Kluyveromyces lactis: one gene and its partners. The protein of the gene in region 2 purifies or fractionates together with the protein of the main gene of each other region. This does not show direct contact. Links are inferred from orthologs where the notes say so. Each region holds a gene or a part of one and is shown on either strand. Other genes may lie near its edges.

Evidence for each region.
Region 1: the proteins of PRP24 (region 2) and LSM6 purify together in Saccharomyces cerevisiae (affinity purification with mass spectrometry; 3 studies listed by BioGRID, with this or other methods). This does not show direct contact. The link is inferred for Kluyveromyces lactis from reciprocal best matches to the Saccharomyces cerevisiae genes PRP24 and LSM6.
Region 3: the proteins of PRP24 (region 2) and LSM2 purify together in Saccharomyces cerevisiae (affinity purification with mass spectrometry; 4 studies listed by BioGRID, with this or other methods). This does not show direct contact. The link is inferred for Kluyveromyces lactis from reciprocal best matches to the Saccharomyces cerevisiae genes PRP24 and LSM2.
Region 4: the proteins of PRP24 (region 2) and LSM7 purify together in Saccharomyces cerevisiae (affinity purification with mass spectrometry; 4 studies listed by BioGRID, with this or other methods). This does not show direct contact. The link is inferred for Kluyveromyces lactis from reciprocal best matches to the Saccharomyces cerevisiae genes PRP24 and LSM7.

The regions. Positions count from the first base shown.
Region 1 is NC_006041.1:232,623-234,584, reverse strand, and holds LSM6 (U4/U6-U5 snRNP complex subunit LSM6), read left to right. Parts: upstream 1-1,182; coding exon 1,183-1,425; downstream 1,426-1,962. Other genes in the region: GTPase-activating protein RGA2, read right to left, coding at 1-68. UniProt on the Saccharomyces cerevisiae protein: Component of LSm protein complexes, which are involved in RNA processing and may function in a chaperone-like manner. Component of the cytoplasmic LSM1-LSM7 complex which is involved in mRNA degradation by activating the decapping step.
Region 2 is NC_006041.1:967,403-970,491, reverse strand, and holds PRP24 (U6 snRNP complex subunit PRP24), read right to left. Parts: upstream 1,819-3,089; coding exon 520-1,818; downstream 1-519. Other genes in the region: NUP188 (Nup188p), read left to right, coding at 1-493; transcription factor MIG1, read right to left, coding at 2,263-3,089. UniProt on the Saccharomyces cerevisiae protein: Functions as a recycling factor of the spliceosome, a machinery that forms on each precursor-messenger RNA (pre-mRNA) and catalyzes the removal of introns.
Region 3 is NC_006042.1:854,731-856,845, reverse strand, and holds LSM2 (Sm-like protein LSM2), read right to left. Parts: upstream 791-2,115; coding exon 503-790; downstream 1-502. Other genes in the region: KLLA0_F09229g (uncharacterized protein), read left to right, coding at 1-379; GDI1 (Gdi1p), read right to left, coding at 1,195-2,115. UniProt on the Saccharomyces cerevisiae protein: Component of LSm protein complexes, which are involved in RNA processing and may function in a chaperone-like manner. Component of the cytoplasmic LSM1-LSM7 complex which is involved in mRNA degradation by activating the decapping step.
Region 4 is NC_006041.1:2,036,746-2,039,294, forward strand, and holds LSM7 (Sm-like protein LSM7), read left to right. Parts: upstream 1-1,535; coding exon 1,536-1,547; intron 1,548-1,677; coding exon 1,678-1,998; downstream 1,999-2,549. Other genes in the region: ALF1 (Alf1p), read right to left, coding at 582-1,334; FUR1 (uracil phosphoribosyltransferase), read left to right, coding at 2,538-2,549. UniProt on the Saccharomyces cerevisiae protein: Component of LSm protein complexes, which are involved in RNA processing and may function in a chaperone-like manner. Component of the cytoplasmic LSM1-LSM7 complex which is involved in mRNA degradation by activating the decapping step.

The DNA of each region.
Region 1 (1,962 bases), about 730 kb from region 2:
ATAGTAATATGGTTCGTACAACGAACACATACTGACGTCTCAGCAGCCCCCTTCGGAGAGGCAGACATACGGTAATTAGTTTTGCAGATGTAGCACGCTGTGGAGGTGATGGTCTTGTAGTGTGTTCGTTTGTCCCTGGATCAATAACTTTTTGATCTAATGGATCAAAAGCTGAAAAGAAATCTAAGATTAATCTTCGAATCGAAAGTATAATAATAACAGAACACGCACAAAGAGCACGACACACCAAAAAAAAAAAAAAGTTAATAGAGAGATGTATTAGCAGCGGCTTTATACTATGATATTTTCTTGCCACGCACCGTTAGAGAGTACTATATAAGGGAAAAGAATTCCAAGCTGTTCCTCGTGGACGGAGTAAATTCCCTCAATATGAATGTTGAGATCGAAATATAGATACGAGGGTTCAATTAACTCAAGGAATGTTTTGATCGAGAGTGAATGCAGCCCTATCTTGTTAAAATCCGAAACGTTTGAAGCGAGTTGATATAAATAAATCGTGTCTCAATCTTGATTATATATATGTACAATCGGTCCTAACCAGTGCTAAATATGGAAGTCAATTAGATAGGGAAACGTAAACAGCACACCACGTCAATTATATTCTAGCTGAATTGATATAGCATATCTATCAGCTGCAGAGAGCCACTAAGGTAAATTAGTGCTGTCTCTCAACGGTTTCGAAATGTATATATGCATTGAAACAAAATCAGGAACCAGGTTTGAGAATGTTTGAACTATGTGGTGTGCAGGCGTGATTTGGAGTTCAGTTTCTTTGTTTCAAGGTCTTAGAGTTCGAAGATTTTGGCTAAAATTGGAGTCAAAGAATGCTGGTTGTTGTCGGAATGTATCCAGGAAGAACCTTTGACATTTGTTTCCAAGCTAGAGCAATATATTACTATAATCTGCGCTGTTCCCTTCCATTCATTTAATTAATTAATTTATTACTTACTGCATATCACTTAATTCACTTTACCACAGATCACGTGACTAGAACATTCTTTCCCTTTTACTTCAACGTGAACAATGAAAAGTGAACTTTGTTAATATAACGTTGAACTGATGGAGAATGATGAGAGTAGGTTCAGATGCAAGAACTACAGGCTTCTTCATATCTTTATTTCGACGCTACCAAATTTCAAAGGCATAGATTGTTAACACATCATGGAATCTAAGGCAACGGCTTCTGGCTCCTTTTTGGAGAACATCATTGGAAAACCAGTATACGTCAAGCTATTCTCAGGAATATTGTATCAAGGTAAGCTAGAATCAATTGATGGGTTTATGAACGTCACAATGTCACAAGTGTCGGAACATTATGAGGCAGAAGAGAACGGAACTTTGCATAAATATCCTTCTGAAGTATTTCTAAGGGGATCGCAGGTGTTATACATTAGCGAAAAATAGGCTTCGATTGGGCAATAAGATTGACTTCGACCAATGACTTTTGTAAGTCGATATTATAAAGTGTCCTATTTGCTCAGAAGCTCAATAACTACAATAATATGATAATACTAATAATAATTTATATACAAAAGTATATAATTGTATACTATAAAGATGGAACGTTATCAAAGCGGAAAGTGTTAAAAAATACTACGATGCACATATATAAAGCACCAAAGCATACATAAATTTAAATTCTGATTTTATTTTAAAATAATAAGAATATGTAGATATCTAATACAATAATAATATATATTAACCTTGTACCAGTGAGTTATACATTACTCTTTTCAAATTTTTATATCATGATTCTTAAAAGAGAAAATTTATTGTCATATCGTTAGAGAAAAGGAGATCAAAGAGGTTCCTTTCGTAGTTTCTTATTTATTCTGTGATAAAGAAAGCTTTCAGATCAAACAAACCGCGAACCTCATATCATGTTGTAGTTTTTTTTTGAGAATATATTAAAGAGAATAGAAGGTGGAACAAGTGAGGGCT
Region 2 (3,089 bases):
GTCCAATGGCATCATATCGATTATTCTTCAACTATTAAGTAAATTCGGATCTGGAATACTTTCGGAAGTGTGTCTATTTGTTTCATATTTCTCCAAACAAATAGATCTTGCTGTGGGGGGCTGGTCGTCTGACTCACTGTCCATAACTCAAGCATATATCCAGGAGACTTCCCAGATAATTCTTTTGCAGAAAATGCTAGATAAACTTGAATATCAGCGTTATTTGTCTGTTAATGGTTCCAAATTGAAGGTCATTGACGAAGAAGAGATAATAGAGTTGTTCCCTGGTTTAGACACTAGCTCTGAGAGAAACGATTTGGCAAATGTATTGAAACATTTGTTAACTCACCCAAAGTATATGAATTCTCGGATCATCGCGACAACCCCAGACAAACAAAAGATGATGGAAGATGAGGTCTATAGAAATCAGCTTCTACATTCTATCACCAAGCAAATCTCAGAACTTCAATCATCCTTGATGTCAGATTTATAAACAGGTAGGTTTATATAGTATTAATATTATTTAGATAGAAATAATTTTCTGAAGTCATCATTGCTCAACTTTTTGTCATTTTGTGACGCTTGCTGTGATTTAATTTCCTTTACAACAGCGTGCTTTGGTTGATTCAAGGTTGTTTTGTGTTCATTGGGATAATGAAGGGAAAGTTCATGAGCAGAAACACATTTCAAAATTCGGTTCTTGAACTTGTATCCATTGATTGCAAGTGAAACTTTTGCGGTAATTGCTTCTTTGTCCGCTATTATTAAAGCACCTTCATGATCAGAGACCAGCAAAACCTTCGTAATATCCGGAGGTCTAATTTGAGCTTTCTCCGTAATGAAAGCAAGAATTTGATCTGGGGTAATCTGATCAGACAATGGGTATATTCCGACAACTTTTGGGTTTTCTTTTCTGGAAGCAAGCAGACGCTTCACCTCTTGTCTTTCTAGATAAGCCTTTCTCATAACTTTTGAAACGTGTAATGGCTTACCGTTCATTACCGCTCCATTTAATGACAAAGCATTATCTGCACTCGCTTTGTTTTTGAATGTTATGAACGCATATCTGGAATGTCGTCCAGGGTTTGTTTCATCACCAGTTACTATTCTAGCTTTTTCTGTATCACCAAACTCATTGAACATCTTTATCAAATCATCGATGGTAATATCATCTGGAAGGTTCTTAACTATTATCTCTCTACCATCCGATATGGCATTGTCAGTCCTTTCAGTTCGTTCGTTGACATTCGATATTTTCGCTACTAATTTATAATTGTTGATCTCTATCCCATTGAGCCTATTTGTAGCTTTCTTTGCCACTTCTGGAGAAACTAAATCAACATATGCAAATCTTCTTCTTGAATTGAACGCTAAGGACGGCAATCTAATACTCAAAATTGGTGAATCAATGTACTGCGATAGTAAATTTCGAAGCTTGCTGGCATCATACCCAGGTGGAAAATTGGTGACCCAAATCGTAGAATCTGTTAGCTGTTCGACAGTTATCTGATGGAAGCCAATCTTTTTCAAAGTCCTGCTCACTGCTGTTAGGGCTTGATCATAGGAACTAAATTCAATCCTTGCCAATTTTGAATCCCCATCTGTTGAATCTGTAACATCTATTTGTAATATCGAACCACAAGTTTTGAAATATCTTCTAACCTTATGATGATTATAATTTGGAGGCAAGTTCTTAACTAAAACAGTGGTATATTCGCGGTTATGCGTATGTAAATTCTTAACTTTTTTCAAGGTAGCAGCCTCCTCTACAGAGACATTTTCGTCTTCTGGGCGTCTCTTATTGTTTTCTGCATTCATAAGTGTACCACGTGCGATTAGGTCAGTTCATAAAATCAACTGGTTCGACCTGCTACTAAGGTTGCATCAGCTCCTATCACGCAACCTTTAAATTGATTGATACTATTGCAGTTTAAAGCCTTTAAAAACTTTGAATATCAAACATATCACGTGATATCTTCATGGAAAGATGTTTTTCCTCAGACGAGCATGACAACCAGTATCCTGAACACAGAATATCTTCGGTGATCGCAAGCTTCAGGTTCTCTGAAAACTTTACAAAGTCTATTTTGGATGGTTATTGTCAATAGAATGCTAAGATGAAATGATATATAATTGATGGACAAGAGCTAGTAAAATTCTATATTCATTATGCGTGAAAGTTTTATATCTTGAGTTAATATAATACATTGATCGATGAAGAGACGGTGCGCTTACATTTCTGTCCATTTTCATTAGTAGTCATTATTTTGGTGGTAAAAGGTCTAAGCTTCGAAGTGATGGCAACTGCACTGGCTTATTCTGATTCAAACTGGGTAACAATCCTTCCGGTGGAGGACTGTGCGTTGGAGTGCACAGTAAACTTGAAAAATGACTTTGGAAATAGTAATCTTTTTCGTCCTTACTGTTCCTTACCGGCAGTTGATCCATCGATCTAAGCCTTGAATGAAGTTCATCATAAAATTCTCCTTCTGTAGCTGAGCCGGAACTTGGTGGCATTGTAGAACTAGGTCTCATGATGGGCATTATGGCTTTTGATTTCTTAAGTGGCCGGCCATATGCATCTTCTGTACTCATATCCTCATCTTGTGAGATTACGGTTTCTTGCTTCAGTAGAGTAGATATGCTTACAGTACTTGAATTTCTTGAATGTTGATCTATCAGTTGGTTGAGACTATTGGATGACGAGAATCTGGAGTTAAGTGCAGAGGAGCTGAAGCCCGATGGTGATTGCTGTTCCGACAGATTTGTCCACGATCTGGTTCTAGGCAGACCGTTACTTATATACTCGTTATCAACAAACTCGGTCAATGGTCGGTTGGGTGCGGGATGGTGAAGATGTACTAGATTCTGTTGCGAATGATTATATGACTCTGAATTTTGAGACAAGGGTGTCATTCTTTGTAATGATGATAAAGCAGAAAGCTTAGCACGTGAAGCTGGTCTTGGTAACAATAGTCCGCTACTGCTGTTGTTGATTGAATGAGATGTAAACGAAAGTGACGGAGAGGATGAAGATGAAGTCAACGGTAGTTTATCAATAAATTTGAAAGAGGATGAGGCTTTGTCAG
Region 3 (2,115 bases), on a different chromosome or scaffold from region 2:
AGACAAGATTATTAAACAGTCTGAGGCGCTTGATCAACTAGCCAAACTAGTGTTATCTCAGTCCCAAAAAAAGCAGTCGACTCTCCCGTCTTTAAAAGAGGAATACGAGAACAAACTGAAGAACGTTGATGAGCTCATCTCGATGATTACATCCGTTGAACTGGATAAAGAGAAGTTCTCAAAAATGATTTCGAAACAAATTGAGATTATTCAGAAAGACGGTCAAGAATATGCTCTAATTCCAGTACAAAGAACTCCTAAACAAGCCAAATTTGGAAAACGAAAGTCTAAAGCTAACAACATTAAATGTTCTTATTGCAATGAAACTGGACACCTCCGATCAAAATGTGAGAAGAAACTCTTGGGAGTTCCACCATGATAGGTAATGTGTTCTATTATTACATATGTGAATAGTGTGAGAGTGGTAGACTCGAATGATATTTAACAGTTATAAATTATTCCTTTCTGCAGCAGGAACCCTGTTTTTCGCTGCTTCTTTCGTTTACTTTCTTTCACTCATTAATTCTCTTCTGGTTGCATCTTGAAGTAGGTTGGTATCCACCATAGATTTCTTCAAATGTACATACCTCACAGTAGAACCTCTGATGAACATGTTCCTCACGCTTGATAGATGTGGATATTTTTCATTATTGTTGGACGAAATGTTGTCTAATTTTAAGTTCAAAAATTGGTCGACTGATTTTAGAGTACCTGTTAGTTCAATACCGTTCTTTAGTTCGACTTTGACTTCATGATCAACCAGGGTCTTGAAAAATGAAAATAATAGCATGGTTCTGGACAGTACGGCCTTGGTTCAGAGGTCCATGCATTTGACTTTTGAATGTGTTGTAGTTGTATTGTCAAATTTCAACATGAAATTGTTTTAAACAATTTCATGTTGAAGGAAAAAAAAAAGATACATGTACAAAATTGACATACACAACTTCATATGTAGAAGTAGAGAAGCTGCTGGACTTAAGAGGACTAGCTGGGATATTTTTACGTCGATTGCTGAAATAAAACTATTGCCAAAACATTCAAGCTAATATGTGGGGCTAGATAGTAAATAGACAAAAATAAAATGATAATGATAAAGATTGTAACGAAACAAGAAAGTAACGTAAAAGTACGTAGAAGTACGTGAAGGTACGATATTTTCAAAAGTTAGCATCACGGTTATCTCGTAGTTCTCACTTACTCCTCTGCAACATCTTCTCTCTTCTTTAAAACAAGGGGGTGACCAGTAATCCTAAAGTAGATATCCTTGACATCGTCGGTCATGGATTCGAAGTGAGATGAGGAATCGTAAGATTTAGAGATGTAAATGTTGTCTTTAGTGCCATCTTCGATCGGTTCAAAGATTTCTGAAATACCCATGAACCTCTCCTCAATTGGGCCCAACATTTTGAAAGCCGGCTCTAATTCGATATGAGGTTTATCAGTTTCAATGATGGTTGATACACTGGCGAGGTAATGACCCTTCGAAGTAACTTTATGGGCGTCAGAGACAGTAGCAATATAAATGTCGTTCTTTCTTCCAACTTGTGATTGTGGTATAATTATTTGGCAAGAATCAGCATTACTAGTGTTAGGAACAGGTTGTTTAGTGATGCAAATTGCTCTGATCACCTTTTCACCTGTAGTTTTACATTTCTCAGGGAAGTATGTTGGATCTGCGATGACTATTGGTGCTTTTGCAGTACCTTCTTTGGTGACAATACCTTCGAATTTACCATCGTCTGAGTATAAAACCTTTTCAATTGGGGTATTTAGCATGTATGTCCCACCGTAAATAGCTGATAATCTAGCAAATCCTTGAGGCAATTCGCCCAACCCATACATAGGGTAAATATATGGAGATTTACCAAACCTGGAAATCGATTGCACATATAGGATAATTCTTTCCACTGATGGTCTAGCAGGTTGTTGCAGATAATCGTCATTGGTCCAAAGGGCCATTGCGTGTCCAATAAATTCTCTGGTTGAATTTCCTAAGCCAAATTTGTAGTATACCTCATCCATAGTGTTTTGATCCAAGTTTAAGCCCTGATGTGTGGCGATATCTTCTTCATTGTATGCACTGATCCATTCCAAGAACTTCTTCATCCTTCTTTT
Region 4 (2,549 bases), about 1.1 Mb from region 2:
GAACTGGCGACTTGATTTATTATAACAACGACAATAGGGCTCAAGCTGAAGTTCCATTAGAAACAACCTTCTCACGAAGCGAAAATCCCGTTAGGGATTTGCTTGATTATAACTCACCGGGGGTTTGAACCCTCGGCGAGCGGACAGCTGCGTTCCACCGAATTTCCCACCTGGAATGAGGAGAACAACTCCTCTGATCAAGTAGAACATTCAAATCACATGACCTCTTCTCAAAACACTTCAAAGTAACGAGCATCCACCTTATACTTAAGAGTGAATATTCTTTGAAGCGCTTCAAGGGCTTAGTATGAAGTTGAGAACAGGAAATGAATTGCCATATTTGATCTTTTTGTAACCAGGTTCATATGAACAGAGACTTTGTGTTCTGAGGAAGATTCGAACCGAAGTCGCAACGTGGCCTTTTTACCAGCTACGGCACAACACCCGACTCAAACCAATTACGAATTCATTCAGTAGTAGACCCTGTCACGTGTGTGTCAGGTGTCATTTCCGTAGTTCAGAGTATCATCCACGAGGCCAAGGACGAGAATATAATTAAACTTATGTAAATTATCAACTCCCTATAACTCATCATCTGTGAGCATCAATTCATCGTCAGCTAATGGCGTGAATTGAGGACCTACTTCAACAACGGCAGGTCTCACAAACCCGCCGTAATTCTTTTTTACTGGTCCGAAATACTTCGTTCCTTGGAATGTACCATTGTTCTTACCGTCAGGTTCGTCAAATTCAATTCCACACCATACATCTGTATTACTGATCTCTTGAACTTTTCCCACGTATCGTAACCATCCTCTTCTTTCGGGGACCTTGGTGGAATCGGTCGTTGTTTCCTCGTTGGACAGTACTCTGCATCTTTCTCCAACGTGTTTTTGTAATAGTTCTGCCTTATCGATATTCAGTTGTAGTTGTTCTTCCATCTTAGAGCGGTATTCAGGATTAAATTTCCCTAACTTGTTATCTTTTTTCCATTGTAATACAGAATCCCTTCTGTTCTCATAATCGTCCATGGTGTATCGGAACGAAACGTCATCGCTATTAGCATGTAGCAAATCATTTTTCAATTGGCTTGCTAAACTGTTTTCGTTGGTGTCTATCACTTTTATGGACTGGATTTTCTCTACTTTCTGGTCTTTGAGATCTTTCAAATACTTGCTGTTCTGTGCATTGCCATTTATCACCAATTTCATGTCTTGAACATCAACACCGGTCAATTCGTTCAATCTTTGGCCCAGATGGTCCCATGATGTACCAGGTTTCACAAAGATCTGAGTGTTAACCAAATCGGATATAATTTCCACGTCAGATGACATTATCGGTGCTGATATATCCTCTGTTTTATTTTGTCTTCGATGCTGTAAGTTCAATGTTTGTCGTTTTGTCCAGGCATGTTTGAACATCGAATTTTTCAATGTTCCGTAAACTTAAATGAAAAGTTAATTTGAAACCAGTAACACACTTTGACAATAACCCATTGAGCAAACAGCGCTACCCCACCCAACCAACTACTAATAATGAGCGAAGCAGTATGTTAACTACTATAATTAGGACGGCTTTCTAAAACTTCTTCAACTTTCTCAAAACAATGATCCATTCTACATTTTAAGTTCAAATTTACTAACAGTTAGAGAGTTTATACATTCCCCTTCTCTGCAGAGGCAATCACAACAACCGAGACAAGAGCAGAAGAAGAAGTTCGAAGGCCCAAAGCGTGAGTCTATCATAAATCTTGCACAATATAAGGACACAGAAGTACGTGTCAAGTTCATAGGGGGAAGACTGGTCACTGGAATCCTAAAGGGTTATGACGAGCTAATGAACTTGGTTCTTGACGAAACCGTCGAATATGCAAGAGACCCAGAAGATGAAACCATCATCCACAAGGACCAAGCCAAAAAAATTGGTTTGGTCGTCATAAGAGGAACAGCTCTACTTTCGCTATGTTCCCTCGAAGGTGCTGAGATCATCAATACCTAGTTAAGACCCAAAAAAAAAAAATTTCAAGCAACAGTGTACCATATATGTTCATTAATAGTGCTATATAACGTTCAGTGCTATATCAAACTCACACTATGAGCCCATATCCACATTTCTACCTGTATCTAATGAAATAAGTATCTCCAACGGAGATACTTTCCTAACCGGCTACATCTCACTTATCAAGACCTAATCTGCACAAATGTGCGTTCACGTGACTTATTGAATCTTTTTTCTAACATCAGCAAAGCTTTTTGGTTAAATTTCGACCAAAAAACCGTATCTCATCGCATCGACTGATTAGAGAGATATCTTGAATTCTTTAAACCGACTGCGTCCAGGTGTTCATTTATATATATGTGAGTATATATCTCTTGTGAGAGTTGTTCTTTTAACGTTTCAAATTCTCTTTTCGCTTGTTGCTGCAAATCTGTTTGAATAATATTTTCTGTAGTATTCTTACTCTTTACTGAAGACCAATCAATTAGCGCATCAAAGCGAACTTCACTTAGGTTTATCTGCTGCTAAAAGAAAATAATATGAGTTCTACA